2 linked regions of the Caenorhabditis elegans genome follow. The protein of the gene in region 2 interacts with the protein of the main gene of each other region in a pairwise test. Each region holds a gene or a part of one and is shown on either strand. Other genes may lie near its edges. The genes, in order: snf-12 and sta-2.

Region 1 (6,813 bases), on a different chromosome or scaffold from region 2:
AACCGTTTTGGTTTCTGCCGTTTTATCATCACTATCGGCTCCAACAAAGTGCGTATGTTGGTTTAATATGTTCGATTTGTACAGGCACTTCATGTATCGCCTGCTAATGCCTGAAAAGGACAAAATGTACAGTTTCGCACATTACAAGGGGATTAAAACAGTATTAATCAGAAAAGGAGTTATCGTATCGTATGGTTTTTTCTGTGGAAATAAATTTGAAAAAAAAAACGTATTTTATAGTGCTTGCAGGATCAACGCAAAGATTTAGAAAATCATCTTGGAGGATTTGCAGAATTTTGATATTAAGTCCGGAATTAGTTCAAGTTCTTAACGGAAACTGTTTTAAATACTGTGAGAAGAAGATGCAGAAACTGTGATCTTTTCCTCTTTCAACTCTTCCAACATTCTTTTGAATAACAATTGAGAAAATTGCAGGAAAAATGTTTATAGAATTATCATTATTCTTTTGCACTTAGACATTTATAAAGTGGAAACAGACTTTTCATATTACAATATATGTACTCTAATTTGGCGAATTTTCTTTGAAAAATCACTTTGTTCTCATTTCAATATTTGATGTTTATATTCAAAATCAACAATCTTTTATTTCACAAATTGCAACAAAATTTATTTTGGCGGCATATCAATTGGTTTCGGCCGCTTTAACTGTGATAACACTTTCGACCTGCCATTCTTCTGCTCCTGGTCATAAATTGCCACTGAACTCAAAGAGCGCTGTCTGGGAAAGTCCAAGGGTGTAATGGAAATTGATTCAGCGGTTGCTGTAGAGAAATGAGTGAATGCGTCGTCGTCGGAGGTTTTCCGTCGGATGACTGTAGCTCTACGAAAGCAGTCATCGGATGAGTCGTCAGATGAGTTAGAAATTGACGGTGAATCATCACCTGGTGTGATGATTTCAGGAGAGTGTGACTCTTTGCTGTTCATCATTGGGGGCTCAGATCGGCAGTGTTGTAATTTGGGCGGTGGAGGGAGTGGACTTGTCGGGACGGGTGGATCGGATGCCGATGGGCTCTGAAATTTATTTTGATATAAAGATGGTTTGAACAAATTGAAATGATCTGAAAGAAAACGAACTATTAATTTAATTTTTTTCAAAAGCTTCACATAAAAAATCAAATAAAATCAAACCTATACGTTCTCATGAAAATCTATTGAATAAAGTTGTAAACATCTCCTTTCAGATTATTTGATACAATTTTTAAAATGATCAGCAGTTTTAAATCAAGAAAAAAATACTGGGTCAACAATTCTTCAGTTGCTTTTTGTTAATAAGTGTTTGATTTTAAAAAAGTTATTGCAAAATGACTTTTTTAATTACTGCTTCGAAGTAATCATTTGGCAGAATCTATATCTAAAAGTTTGAGGTAAAACATTTTGTAATTTAGGTTTTCGGCAAACGCTTTTCATATACTACTACTAACAAAAAATTAAACAATAATGCTCTGTCAACATAATAATTCATGTTTTTGAAAATATCTTATATTCACTTACACTTCGCTTCTTGCGTGTTTTACGAGCCATCCTTTCCATATTTTGTGGTAGCTTGTTTGGTATTCTTGGCACTTCAACATTACGACATTTATAGTTTACAGGCATCGATTCCGAAAATCTGGTTGTCATTATTTTCTCGTCATCTCCTAATATTGCAGGTGGCGAACCAAATAGGGTTAACTCCATGTCATCATTGTGTTTCACAGTTGACGCCATGAACGAATTTGTCGTCGCTGAATCTTCCTCTGAGTAATTCGAAGCGGTCTCTTCAATTTGTTGCTGACGATCTCTGAGTCTTCCCGCCTTCCATCCATACGGATCTAGAGAAGCTCCAAGTGGGAAGACACGTGATCTCACTGTTGGTCCACGTGAATCAATGTACATATAAGTGTTTTCTCGATGAGTGAAAATTGTTGGTGTTCTTCGCCTATTCGGTGGGCTCTCAAATTTACCACTTTGTCGCATATAAAGATCTTTTGGCTCAAGGGAGTCGTCTTGGCTTTCTCTCCACTCGGAAGTGTCAAAAAGAGATTTCAAAAGTTTTCCTTCGTTTCGGATCTGCCGTATTTGCATGAATGCAACCAAAGGTACAACAAGTAATGGTCCAATCATAACAATCCAAGCAACAATTTCATAGTCAATCGGAATTGGTCGCCCAGCAAATGAGATTCTCTGGTATCCTAAAACTGAAGCAACAAGGAGAACTGTCAAGATAACAGGGCAAATGAAGCAAAGTGAAAACTTTATATATATTCCACCAGGTCCGAAGAAATATATTAGTTTTTCCTGGAAAACGTTTAATTTATATTGTTATGTGTAAAACAATTTCAAATTTTTGTTGGTAATACGTAGTGTTCTATTTTTTTCCAAAATCTTACTTTCAATCTTGTCGCCTTTGATATCTGAATTCTTGGAACTCGCAGCATTGCAGAAATATCCGTCAAATAGTTGTCGATCCCGTACACATAACATACAATAGCCACTGAGAGTAACGCTAGGGAGAACGAGTTCCAGTTAGCGTTAAGATTTTCAATTGCATGAAATACAAAAATCCCACCCTGAATTTTTTGATAGAAAAATAGTATAGAATTTACTACACTTACTTGAGCACACAACGGTAAACCAAGAAAAAACCCTGCTAAGCAAAGAAATGCCAAAAGCCTGTTTTCCACTGCTTTGTTTTTCATGGAGAAGTGATTCATAAATGCAGATGCTATCATTTCAAGCCTGTAAAAATAAAAACAATGAACTTGATATGAAGGTATGAACCAACCATGCAAATTCTGCATCAATTGCTGCTAAAACCAACATTCCAAAAAACAACGTTGCCCAGAGACCTCCCCAATACATGAATGATGTGACACCCGGGTAAACTGTAAATGACAGGTAGAGAGGGTCGTGCTCTGAAAGTGAAATAATGACATAGTTGATATGGAACAGATAAACTTACTTAAAACATCATTTACATTGCTGTTTGACTCGCTTGCAATGAATCCAACAAATGAAAAGATGACCATTCCAGAGAGGCAAGAAGTCAGTGCATCCCTAAAACCTTACCATGTTTTTTCTGTCATCGTCTGATAGTGTTCACTAACATAATTACCAAAAGCACCGAGTCTCGGTATATATTATTCCGATACCTAGAAAACGCCGCCATTGAAATGAGTGGACCCGCATCTATTCCTAGCTCATAGAACACTTGCTCAGCAGCTGACTTCCAAATTTGCCATTTCCAAAGTTTAGTACTATCGACAGTGAATAAAAATGTAAGCCCCTTGTTGGCTCCGGGCAGACTAATTCCACGCAGTAATAGAATAGACAACTGGAAATATTTTCGTTAAAAGCTGAAAAAAATTACAACAAACCAGTAAATATGGCACAGTAGCAGTTACGTTCATAGTTTGAGCAATTGATCCAAGACCCTTAAACACTCCAAAAAAGACCAAAAGCCACGCAGCAGCTAAGGATAGCACCAAGTGAGATTGTAGGGGGCCCAACGCAAAATCCCCAAATGTTGATAATGAAAGAACTTCGGAACTGAACGCAAAAATAATTGCAAAGATTTAAACGTTTTTTAAAAAATAGCTTTTTGTCAACAAAAAATAAAAATAGAAAATAAACATATGTACTTCATTTTCCAAAAACTCACTGAAAAAATGCTTCTGGTGCAGTGATAGAGTTTGTAGAATTGAAGCAGCTATGCAAGTTGTGCAAGTTACAGCAACGGTTGTCTAGTTGCCATTCTATATTTGGATCATTCCAGTTATGATTATTTTGAGTTTTAAACAGCTCACCGTCTCTACAAGTTTCCCATGGTAGTTCGTCTCCCAACAAAAGTCCTTTTGCCGATTGAAAAAAGTAGTGAATTGCCCAAGCCACAATAATATTGTAATAAACCGCTACCGGAATTGCAATCACAACCAAAGCCCAACCAACTCCTGAATATCTTTACGATTGATAAGTTTTGCACTCATATCTGATTTACCTGATCCAATTGGCATCAATCTCTGAAACGCTGTATTAGCTGCCTGTCCAGTATACTGACCTAATGATAAGTGCAAAAATACTAATGGAAGACCAAAAAATATTAGCGAAAACAGGTACGGGATAAAGAAAACGCCTCCACCATGCTGATAGACTTTTGCTGGAAACCGCATAGTGTGCCCGACTCCAACCATGAATCCAAGGCAAGAGAGGAAGAAATCTTTCTGCGTTCTCCACAGCTCCCGTCGATCATTTTGCTTGGAAAACCGAAGTAAGTCTGTTCGTCTGTACAATTGAAATTGGTCCCACCAGTGCGGACGTTGAGGCGTTTGGTCTTCAAGGGCTGATACATCAATAGTTTGAATAACATCAGGAGATGACTGAAAATTTGAATGAAGAGTTAACTTATTTATAATTCCGTTTTTCAAATGACAGGTTATCATATTGTCCAAGTTTTTTCTGATCGTTTTGTCAACGTAACTGAAATCACCTTGTCTTGTGAGGCGTTTAATCGGCATCTATCGTGAAAAAAATGTAGGAGAAATCTAAATTTTTTAACTTAAGCTGAGTATGCTTTATATTGAAACTTAAATTAACATGGACGCCATCGGCCACATTTAAAACAATTTACTCTCAATTTGAAAAAAATGTCGGACGTTTCTTGTTACAATTTCTGACAAAACTCTTGAACGTCCTACACCAATGTTCATTTTTCAGAGATTAAATTCACACTCACCACACCTGGAAGGGACGATATTGTTCGGGATAATGGCGGAGCTACTGATGAGCTTGTTTTTCGCTTCACCTTTTTCCATTTCTTCTCTTTTCCCACTGAACTTCCTCGGTTTAAAAGACGTTCTGTTTCGTCTGCATGGCATACACACTCCAAATAAAATAGGGCAGCGTCATTAGCACTTGAACCAACAAGTTCTCGAAGTTTGACAATTCGCTTGTCCATATCTACCGTTCGCTTCTTAATCTCGTCAACTGATGATTTACGGTGCAATTCGTTTCTTTTGGCGAGTGCCTCGATTTGCAATCGGAGAGCTGATTTCCATTCTCCGTTCATTTTGATCTGCTAGAAAAAATATGTTCTCTTTATTTTTCAGGGATTCCGAAATCGTAGCGGAATATGATAGTACTTTTATTGTAAGACACTCGACAATTGCTCAAAGAATACATACACACTACATGTTATATTTTCTGACTGAGCACTTTTTCTTTTTCTTTCAGAAAACTCAACTCAGAATACCAAAAGCTATATTTCAAACATTGATAAAATTATTAAATGTTGATTATACATATGATAAGGAAGATTTATAACTTTTAAGAAAAATAAAAACTACAACGGCACGAAAATAATGTTGTAGGTGATGCCGACGGTGAAGAAGGTTAAAAAGGTTAGAGATCGTGAATCTACAAAACGCAGGCGATAAAGGGAAACCCGAGGAAAACCTGTTCCCGTCTTTTTGTTTGACAAACTCACCTCTTCTTGCAAGACGAGAGATTATTGAGTACGCGAGAATAGTACAGTTGATGTTGTGAGAATTTGGTTGAAATTAGTTTTTAATAACAAACTATTGCGTATGATCAACGCGTTAGATTTCAATTTGTTGAGTTAAAACACAGAAGGATAAATAAAATTTTGCTTTCGTATTGTAATAATTTTGCTTTCGTATTGTAAATGATATAAAGATAACGTTAAACTTTTCTCGATGTCTTTGAGTTTCGTGATTTTTATTATCAGTCGATTAATTTTTTACGCAGAGAACCTTAGATATGTATTCCCATTTTGCCACAAAAACACTGTTTAGTGCACTTCCTTCCCTCAAAACCAATTGTGCACGTTTCAATAGGCAAGCTTTTTTCAAAATCATGTATAATTTGAAACCTTTTCAGCGGTACCAGCATTTTTTTGCATCCAAAATAGTTAGCCGTGTTATTTCTTGGTCACACTTTTTTTTTGACTACAAGACTATAGTACTACTTTTGAATATACAGGGTGGTAAATAATTATGGCGACCACTTTAGGGCACTGTAACTTTTTTTTGGACAGCGAGCAAAACAAGTGAATAGATACATTTTATTGTTCAGAAACAATCCAACATAATGATTATATAAAAACTATATAAAACTTGACATTTATGATCACTTACAGCCGCACAGAACTCAAGAAAGTCAAAAATCCACACGGCCCTGGTGCGCAAGTAGACTCGATTTAGCTTATTGGTGATTTTTAAATGAGGTATCAAAAAATGCATTTAAAGTTCTAAAGTAGCCCATTCGCGATGCGCCATTCCGTCGTACATGTAGGTATCAAACAAATCATTCTCGTGCTTCTCAAAGTGAGACTCTCTCCATTTTTTGTCGTTTTTGACGGTGCAGTTGGAAAGGAAATTGTGCCCGAGGTGAAAGAAGTACTTGTTGTACAAATGATGGTCGGACTGTGACGGGACAAGACTGAAAATATGAAATATTAGAATTATAAGAATTATAATTGAATTGCTTACAACTTTTTTGCGCTTTCCAAAAACTCCACTTTTTCCCATCTAATATAGTTTTCCAAAAAGTTTTTTGGAGTGAGATTGTTCCAACAAAGAGTGCTCATGAACTCTTGAAACAGTTCTTTTGACGCAGATGACATGTCTACCTTGGCAAGGTTGTTGAGCTCCAAGATTTGTTCTGTCTCCTAAAGTAATATAATGGAACAGTATAAACTGCAAATATCAAATCGAATGTGTGTGAGATCCCGTTTCTTTGACAAAGACAATGCAAACACTGGAGTTTAATTGGACTTAAAAAACCAATCTAATACAC
Region 2 (5,793 bases):
ACACTATTCTGATCACTGCAGCTGATACTGATACAGTGAGTTCACTGAACATAAATTTGTACAAGTTACATTTTTAGGTAACATTAGCCCCTCTGGCAATTGGTCTCACGCTGTCGATTGATATTCTTTCAACGTAAGTATTGAAAATATTGCTAATATACGATGCCTCATAAATTAAATGTTTCAGTGGATCCATCACCGGCGCCTCGATGAACCCAGCTCGATCACTGGGTCCAAGCATTATTGGTTCGATTTTTGCAACTCAAAAAACATCTTTTTACTGGAATAATCATTATATATATTGGGCTGGACCACTTCTTGGATCCACAATAGCTCTTTGCATTTACAAGTAAGTGAAGAATAGCAAATTGAGGTCCAAGTGGGACGAGTCTCGTTTCCGTTAAATGGTTAATAAAAATATGTTTAAAATATTCATAATTTTCAGACTTTTCGAATCACGAGAAGAACGTATCGTGCGATGAACACGCTAAATTCATTACGTTTTGACATTTACCTGTGGTATTTATTTTTTATTCCCTTTTCAAATTCATATTATTTCTCATCTTTTCTTTCGAATCGAATAAATCGAAATCTTTTATTTCAATTCATTGTCGTTATGGGTGAAACAACATCTATCAACTGTGGGTTTTAAACTTTATGTAATTGAAAAATGTAACATTGAAGCTGCAATTTCAAGTAACAGTTCGTTGTCTTTGGCAAGCACACAGGTTCAATCACCAGAGAAACCAGTGAGACCGGCATGGCTACTTGCATCATTCTCTGAATCGACAACTTCTGGATCTCGTAGAATTTGTAGAATCTGTCAAATGCACGAGGGAGATATGGTTAGACCATGTGATTGTGCTGGAACGGTTAGTATTTAGTGATTCATAAATTTATGATAGTTTCGAAAAAGGGGACATTAAGGGCCTCAGAATCTCGTGGCTTTATGTTTTTGTATCCAATTTGTTTTGTAATTTTCGAAAAGTCTTGTATTTTTTTATATCCTTACTTATAGCCACGTAGAACAGATTAAGACAAAACCCCCACATTTAACAACTGACTTAAATATATTTTTTCTGAACATTGAATAAAATCCTGACACAAGACTACACAAGAAAAATATTGTATTGTTCAAATTAATTTACCAAATTCAGATGGGTGATGTGCATGAGGAATGTCTCACGAAATGGGTAAACATGTCAAACAAGAAAACCTGTGAAATTTGTAAATCTGAATACACGAATAGTGGTGCTCAGTTCAAGCCAATCAAGCAGTGGAGTAAACCAAAATGCTCATTAAATAATATTTTCCATGTTCTGATCATAGTTCTTCTTGGACTTTTGATTTCATACGTGGTAATTGTAATGGAAGAACGATGCTTTTACAAAAGAATTATTGAGAAGAATATGTATGCTCGCCCAGATGATACTGGAAGAATTTGTGAGTTTAAACATATATTACTTTCCAAATAACGACCTGTAGAAGTTTTTATCGAGAATAGTTACCTTTTCCGACTTTATAGAGGTTTTCGAATTGACAAACAAGTGCGAAATCTAGATCTAAGCAGAAAATAACAGAAATAACAGAAAAAAAATAACAGGCGGAAAATAGTTTCATCAGTAGACTTCAAATTACACATGTTCCAGGTGTGATTATAATTCTCTCCCTGGCAATTCTCAACAACGTATACACTCTGATTGCTCAATTCATTCGCTACTTGAAGAGTCAACGTCAAATTCGTTTCATTAATAAACATTTAACAATTTAAATTCGAATGAAGTGATGTTTTGTCTGCATTTTTTTCTAATTTTTTGTAATATTGTAAATTTATTCGATGAGTCATCTAGGAATCAGATGAAAAGAAAATGTATCTCAAATAAGAAGAGAGATAGACATACAGACTGCGCAAAACGAGTTTCTCGACCGAGAATGCAAGATGCCCACCCGACTGTCCGACGACATCGACGGCACTTTGTTGTAACATCGATTGACAATACAAACTCTGACATCATCGGTCACTTGTTTTATTTTGTTTTACTTTTACTCTTTTCTTAATTCATGTGACTACTTCGTCACTACTCCTCTGGTTTAAATTTTTAAATTCATTCTTCAAGTTCTAGATGTCGTCGGTGGTATCTGACCAAATGGACATTGAGTCCTCTTCTGCATTCTCCCCAGCCGAGCCAGTTGTAGATGGAGCATTCGTGTCAAAACATAATTTGAGCGCGGAAGCATATCAGGTAGGAACTTCAGTAAAACCTCAGTTATTAATTGTGATGAAAAGTCACAGCATTTACTGTTCATGATGCTGGTTTCAGGGTTTCAAAGAATGTGCAGATTCCCTTTTATCGGGGAAAATTGCCCAAAATGAGCAACTCCCATTCATTCAACGAACGCTGCAAATTTGTGAAAATGTGATCTTGAATTTCGAAGACGAAAAACAACATTTGATGAGCGATGTACTTCTTGTATGGGCTATGAAACAACAGAAGCTTAGTATTGCAACTCTTCACACCCAACAATTACATTACAAAGAATTAGATTTGATCAATTTACAATTTGAATATTTTGGGGAACTTTTGCAACAGACACTCTCAGGACTTGATTACTTGAAGCAATACTATCCGAACGTCGGATTTGAAGAGGTTCATTCAAAAGTTCGCAATTTGACCCATTATTTCCTTTACTACTCAATCATTGTCAGTCGTCAACCACCATCAGTGATTGTTAAATGTGGTGAAGCAGAGAATCATAGAAGAAGCAGATTCTGGTTTAATACTGAGATAAGGTTAGATTTATTCAAAAAAAAATGTTGAAATTTTTTTGAAGAAACAAGACCGGAGAAATTACATAATAGACCTAAATTTTGAATTAATTATTTGATTCAGAATTCTTGGTGGATCCGCTTTTGGAATTGATACAAACAATGAGAATTCAAATGTTAATTGTTACTTGATTACCGATGAGACTGCTAAGCAATTACTAAATAATGCTTACCTTGATATGTGAGTTTTGTAAATTATATCTGAAGCCAATTTCTTTTTTATTTTTAGTTTTGAATCTGAAGAATTCTGTATTGAGCCAAACACATCCACGTTTCAAAAAAAAGATGCAAGAGGAATAAAAGCGAAATTTGACGATATGGCGAGTTTTTCATTTAAAGATGGGAAATAAAAACAATTTCTTCTCAGAAAGTTGCAAAAAAGGTTGCACTTCGTCGAGATTCCGTTGCTACAAAACGATATTGTCTGTGCTATAATATTCAATTGCAAACAAATTGTGGAATTGAACTTGTCGGAAAAAAGGTTATAAATTGTTGGAGTGTATATTAAAATTAGATTTTTCAGGTTTCGCTTCCATTTGCTGTTCTTGTTGGTCCAAAAGCAGATGTTGAGGCAAAATTGTTCCTCGAAAGATCTTTTGCTGACTTGGTAAGTTTTTTTTTGGTATTTTTTAAAAAGAACACACACTATTTGGAACTCGAAAAATTTTTTAAATATCAACTGTGAGCTTTTTCAAAAATCTTCGAACAGAATTAAATGATCAAATTCCAGGTCCGCCATCCGCTTTCGGATATTCCCACTCATGTATCTTGTGCTGAAATGGCTGATGCTCTGGAAATGAAATTTCAAGCAATCATAGAAACACCTCAAAAAAATACTGATGGACCTTCTGTTGTTCAACCGAGAAAATTCAATATGCAAACAAAACAACACTTGGTGATGAGAATGAAACCAAATAATCAAGGATTTTTGCCACTTGATAATTTTATGAAGGTATGCGTTTTTTTGAAGTTTGGAACTTTATTTAAAAAATTATCGAAAATTGTCAAGAAAGGGAGAAAAGTGTCAAACTAGAAAACTCTCCATTCTCAAGAATCCCTCCATTCTCAAGAACCTAAATGGCAACTTGACAGTCCTTCAAAATCCTCATTTTTTGTGGAAACAGTAACAAAACGTTTATGTATGTCCTTGTAAACTTCAAAGAAAAAAACAAGTTCCATTGTCAATAGAGTTCCAAAGTAATGGAATACTCTTTTCTTTTTTCTTTTTACTTCAACTACAACTAAACCCCCTCAATTTTCAGCTTCCGGTTGCAGAAGAATTCCAGCATAAGAAAAGTGCCTCTGCGGAAGGGGATTGGAAATTGGTGCCATTCTACGACTGGTTCTTTAAACTTGCAGAAATTACAAATAAGTACCTATACAGTATGTGGTATGACGGGTAGGTAATGACATATATGTGACGCGAAAATTAAAGCCTTTCTGTTTCAGCTTGGTTTATGGGTTTTGCAGTAAAGAAGACGCAGAGAATATTTTGAGATGCATACCGAGAAGTGTTTTGTTGGTTCGATTTTCGGATATTGAATACGGAAAAATTAAGATTTCAGTAAAGAATAGGAATGGTGGTAAGCTTTCAAAATCATCAAATGAATTCAAGGAAGTTCGTGAAAAACGAAGGGTGTGACATTACTTTTGCGATTTCGATGAGAAAATTCAACAAAAATTCAAGACCGAAATCTATACCAGTTATCTCAGTTTTTCTCTGTTTCAGAAAAATTTTCCCGTACTTTTCTTTTAAATATACTTTTATGAATAGGACTGCATTGAACAGAAGAAGAAAAAACCTCGCAAATAATCCAAAAAATATTTTTAAATATTCAAAAAACAACATAAACTTATCATATTCTAACATAGTTGCCAGCAACATTCTACGCACTTTTACATTTATAAATTCAAAATCAAATAATTTTTGTTCCGAAAACCGAATCAACTCTGTTTGTTTTCTAGAAATTCGTCATCACTGGTACGAGCACGCTGATCTAAATGCTCGATCCCTGAATTCAGAACTTCTTTCAAATCACAAGTTCTCCGACGTCGATCTCATTTATCCAGACATTGATCTAGAGGTATGTGTTTACACAGAATATTGCCCCTTTCATTTCTCATACATTCGATAAGAATCTTCATGAAACGCTTATTAAATGCCTGAATATGAATAATTGACATTTCGTTAATGACCAAACAACTTCAGGTTGCTCTCGGAGGACGGAATAAGCCACGTATTCGACTTCCACGCAATCTTGCTCCCGACGAAATCTATTTTGATAATCAAGGAGCCGCCACTTGAATGAACGATAACTGAGCATTTGAGATATCAGTTAGATTGTTATAAGTACAAACACACTCACTCAGAATTTAATAAAATAAAGTAATTTTACAATCAAAAAGCGAACTATCAACACGGTTCATTTACGTTTTAGGGTTGAAATGAGTCATTGAGAGGTAATCGGAGACATCATTTGGCAAAGAAGGAATACAAATAAACACACATGGTGGGTTAATTGAGAAACTTGTACAAATGGTAATAAAGAATAGAGAGGAGATTTGTAGTTTGAACTAACATTAAGAGGTGGAAAAACCGTCAATTTGGTTTTTGATTTGGTTCCTTGAACAAAAAATGAAGGGGTCAGGAATCACAAAAAAACGGTCTCGATTGAAAATAATGAATTTCTGTAACTGTTGAATATTTGAATAACAAAACGTTATTGAAGACATTCTTCAGAAACATGTTATTAACTACTTTGTGTTTAACTTTTTTAAATTTCATATAGTATGTATACGCAGGAGCCTCATAAAAGGTGATTATATCGGCTCCCGCTGCACTTTGCACAGAAATGTCCCAGAGTTTAGAATATCTTCAGTGTGCCCAAAGCAGATGTTGGAACTTTTTTTAACACTCTTTGACTGAAAACCTAATTTTCTTAAGTTTTGCGTCCACTCGGATCGCT

What was found.
Region 1: the proteins of sta-2 (region 2) and snf-12 interact in a two-hybrid assay, tested with the Caenorhabditis elegans proteins (one study listed by BioGRID).

The regions. Positions count from the first base shown.
Region 1 is NC_003284.9:9,027,730-9,034,542, reverse strand, and holds snf-12 (Sodium-dependent transporter snf-12), read right to left. Parts: upstream 5,074-6,813; 5' UTR 5,066-5,073; coding exon 4,733-5,065; intron 4,377-4,732; coding exon 3,998-4,376; intron 3,951-3,997; coding exon 3,807-3,950; intron 3,756-3,806; coding exon 3,662-3,755; intron 3,550-3,661; coding exon 3,378-3,549; intron 3,335-3,377; coding exon 3,108-3,334; intron 3,058-3,107; coding exon 2,963-3,057; intron 2,916-2,962; coding exon 2,786-2,915; intron 2,740-2,785; coding exon 2,616-2,739; intron 2,571-2,615; coding exon 2,391-2,570; intron 2,299-2,390; coding exon 1,513-2,298; intron 1,033-1,512; coding exon 628-1,032; 3' UTR 588-627; downstream 1-587. Other genes in the region: T25B6.3 (TryThrA_C domain-containing protein), read right to left, coding at 6,258-6,456, 6,507-6,685. UniProt on the Caenorhabditis elegans protein: Probably mediates sodium-dependent uptake of unknown small molecule(s).
Region 2 is NC_003283.11:9,739,100-9,744,892, forward strand, and holds sta-2 (Signal transducer and activator of transcription b), read left to right. Parts: upstream 1-2,106; 5' UTR 2,107-2,123; coding exon 2,124-2,243; intron 2,244-2,321; coding exon 2,322-2,791; intron 2,792-2,891; coding exon 2,892-3,008; intron 3,009-3,056; coding exon 3,057-3,147; intron 3,148-3,194; coding exon 3,195-3,308; intron 3,309-3,350; coding exon 3,351-3,434; intron 3,435-3,557; coding exon 3,558-3,779; intron 3,780-4,089; coding exon 4,090-4,226; intron 4,227-4,276; coding exon 4,277-4,410; intron 4,411-4,792; coding exon 4,793-4,911; intron 4,912-5,036; coding exon 5,037-5,132; 3' UTR 5,133-5,232; downstream 5,233-5,793. Other genes in the region: aqp-4 (Aquaporin), read left to right, coding at 1-35, 78-133, 188-349, 446-482; marc-1 (RING-CH-type domain-containing protein), read left to right, coding at 617-641, 685-872, 1,158-1,443, 1,650-1,771. UniProt on the Caenorhabditis elegans protein: Carries out a dual function: signal transduction and activation of transcription. Required, in concert with transcription factor elt-3, for up-regulation of the vacuolar H(+)-ATPase and acceleration of lysosome maturation at molt.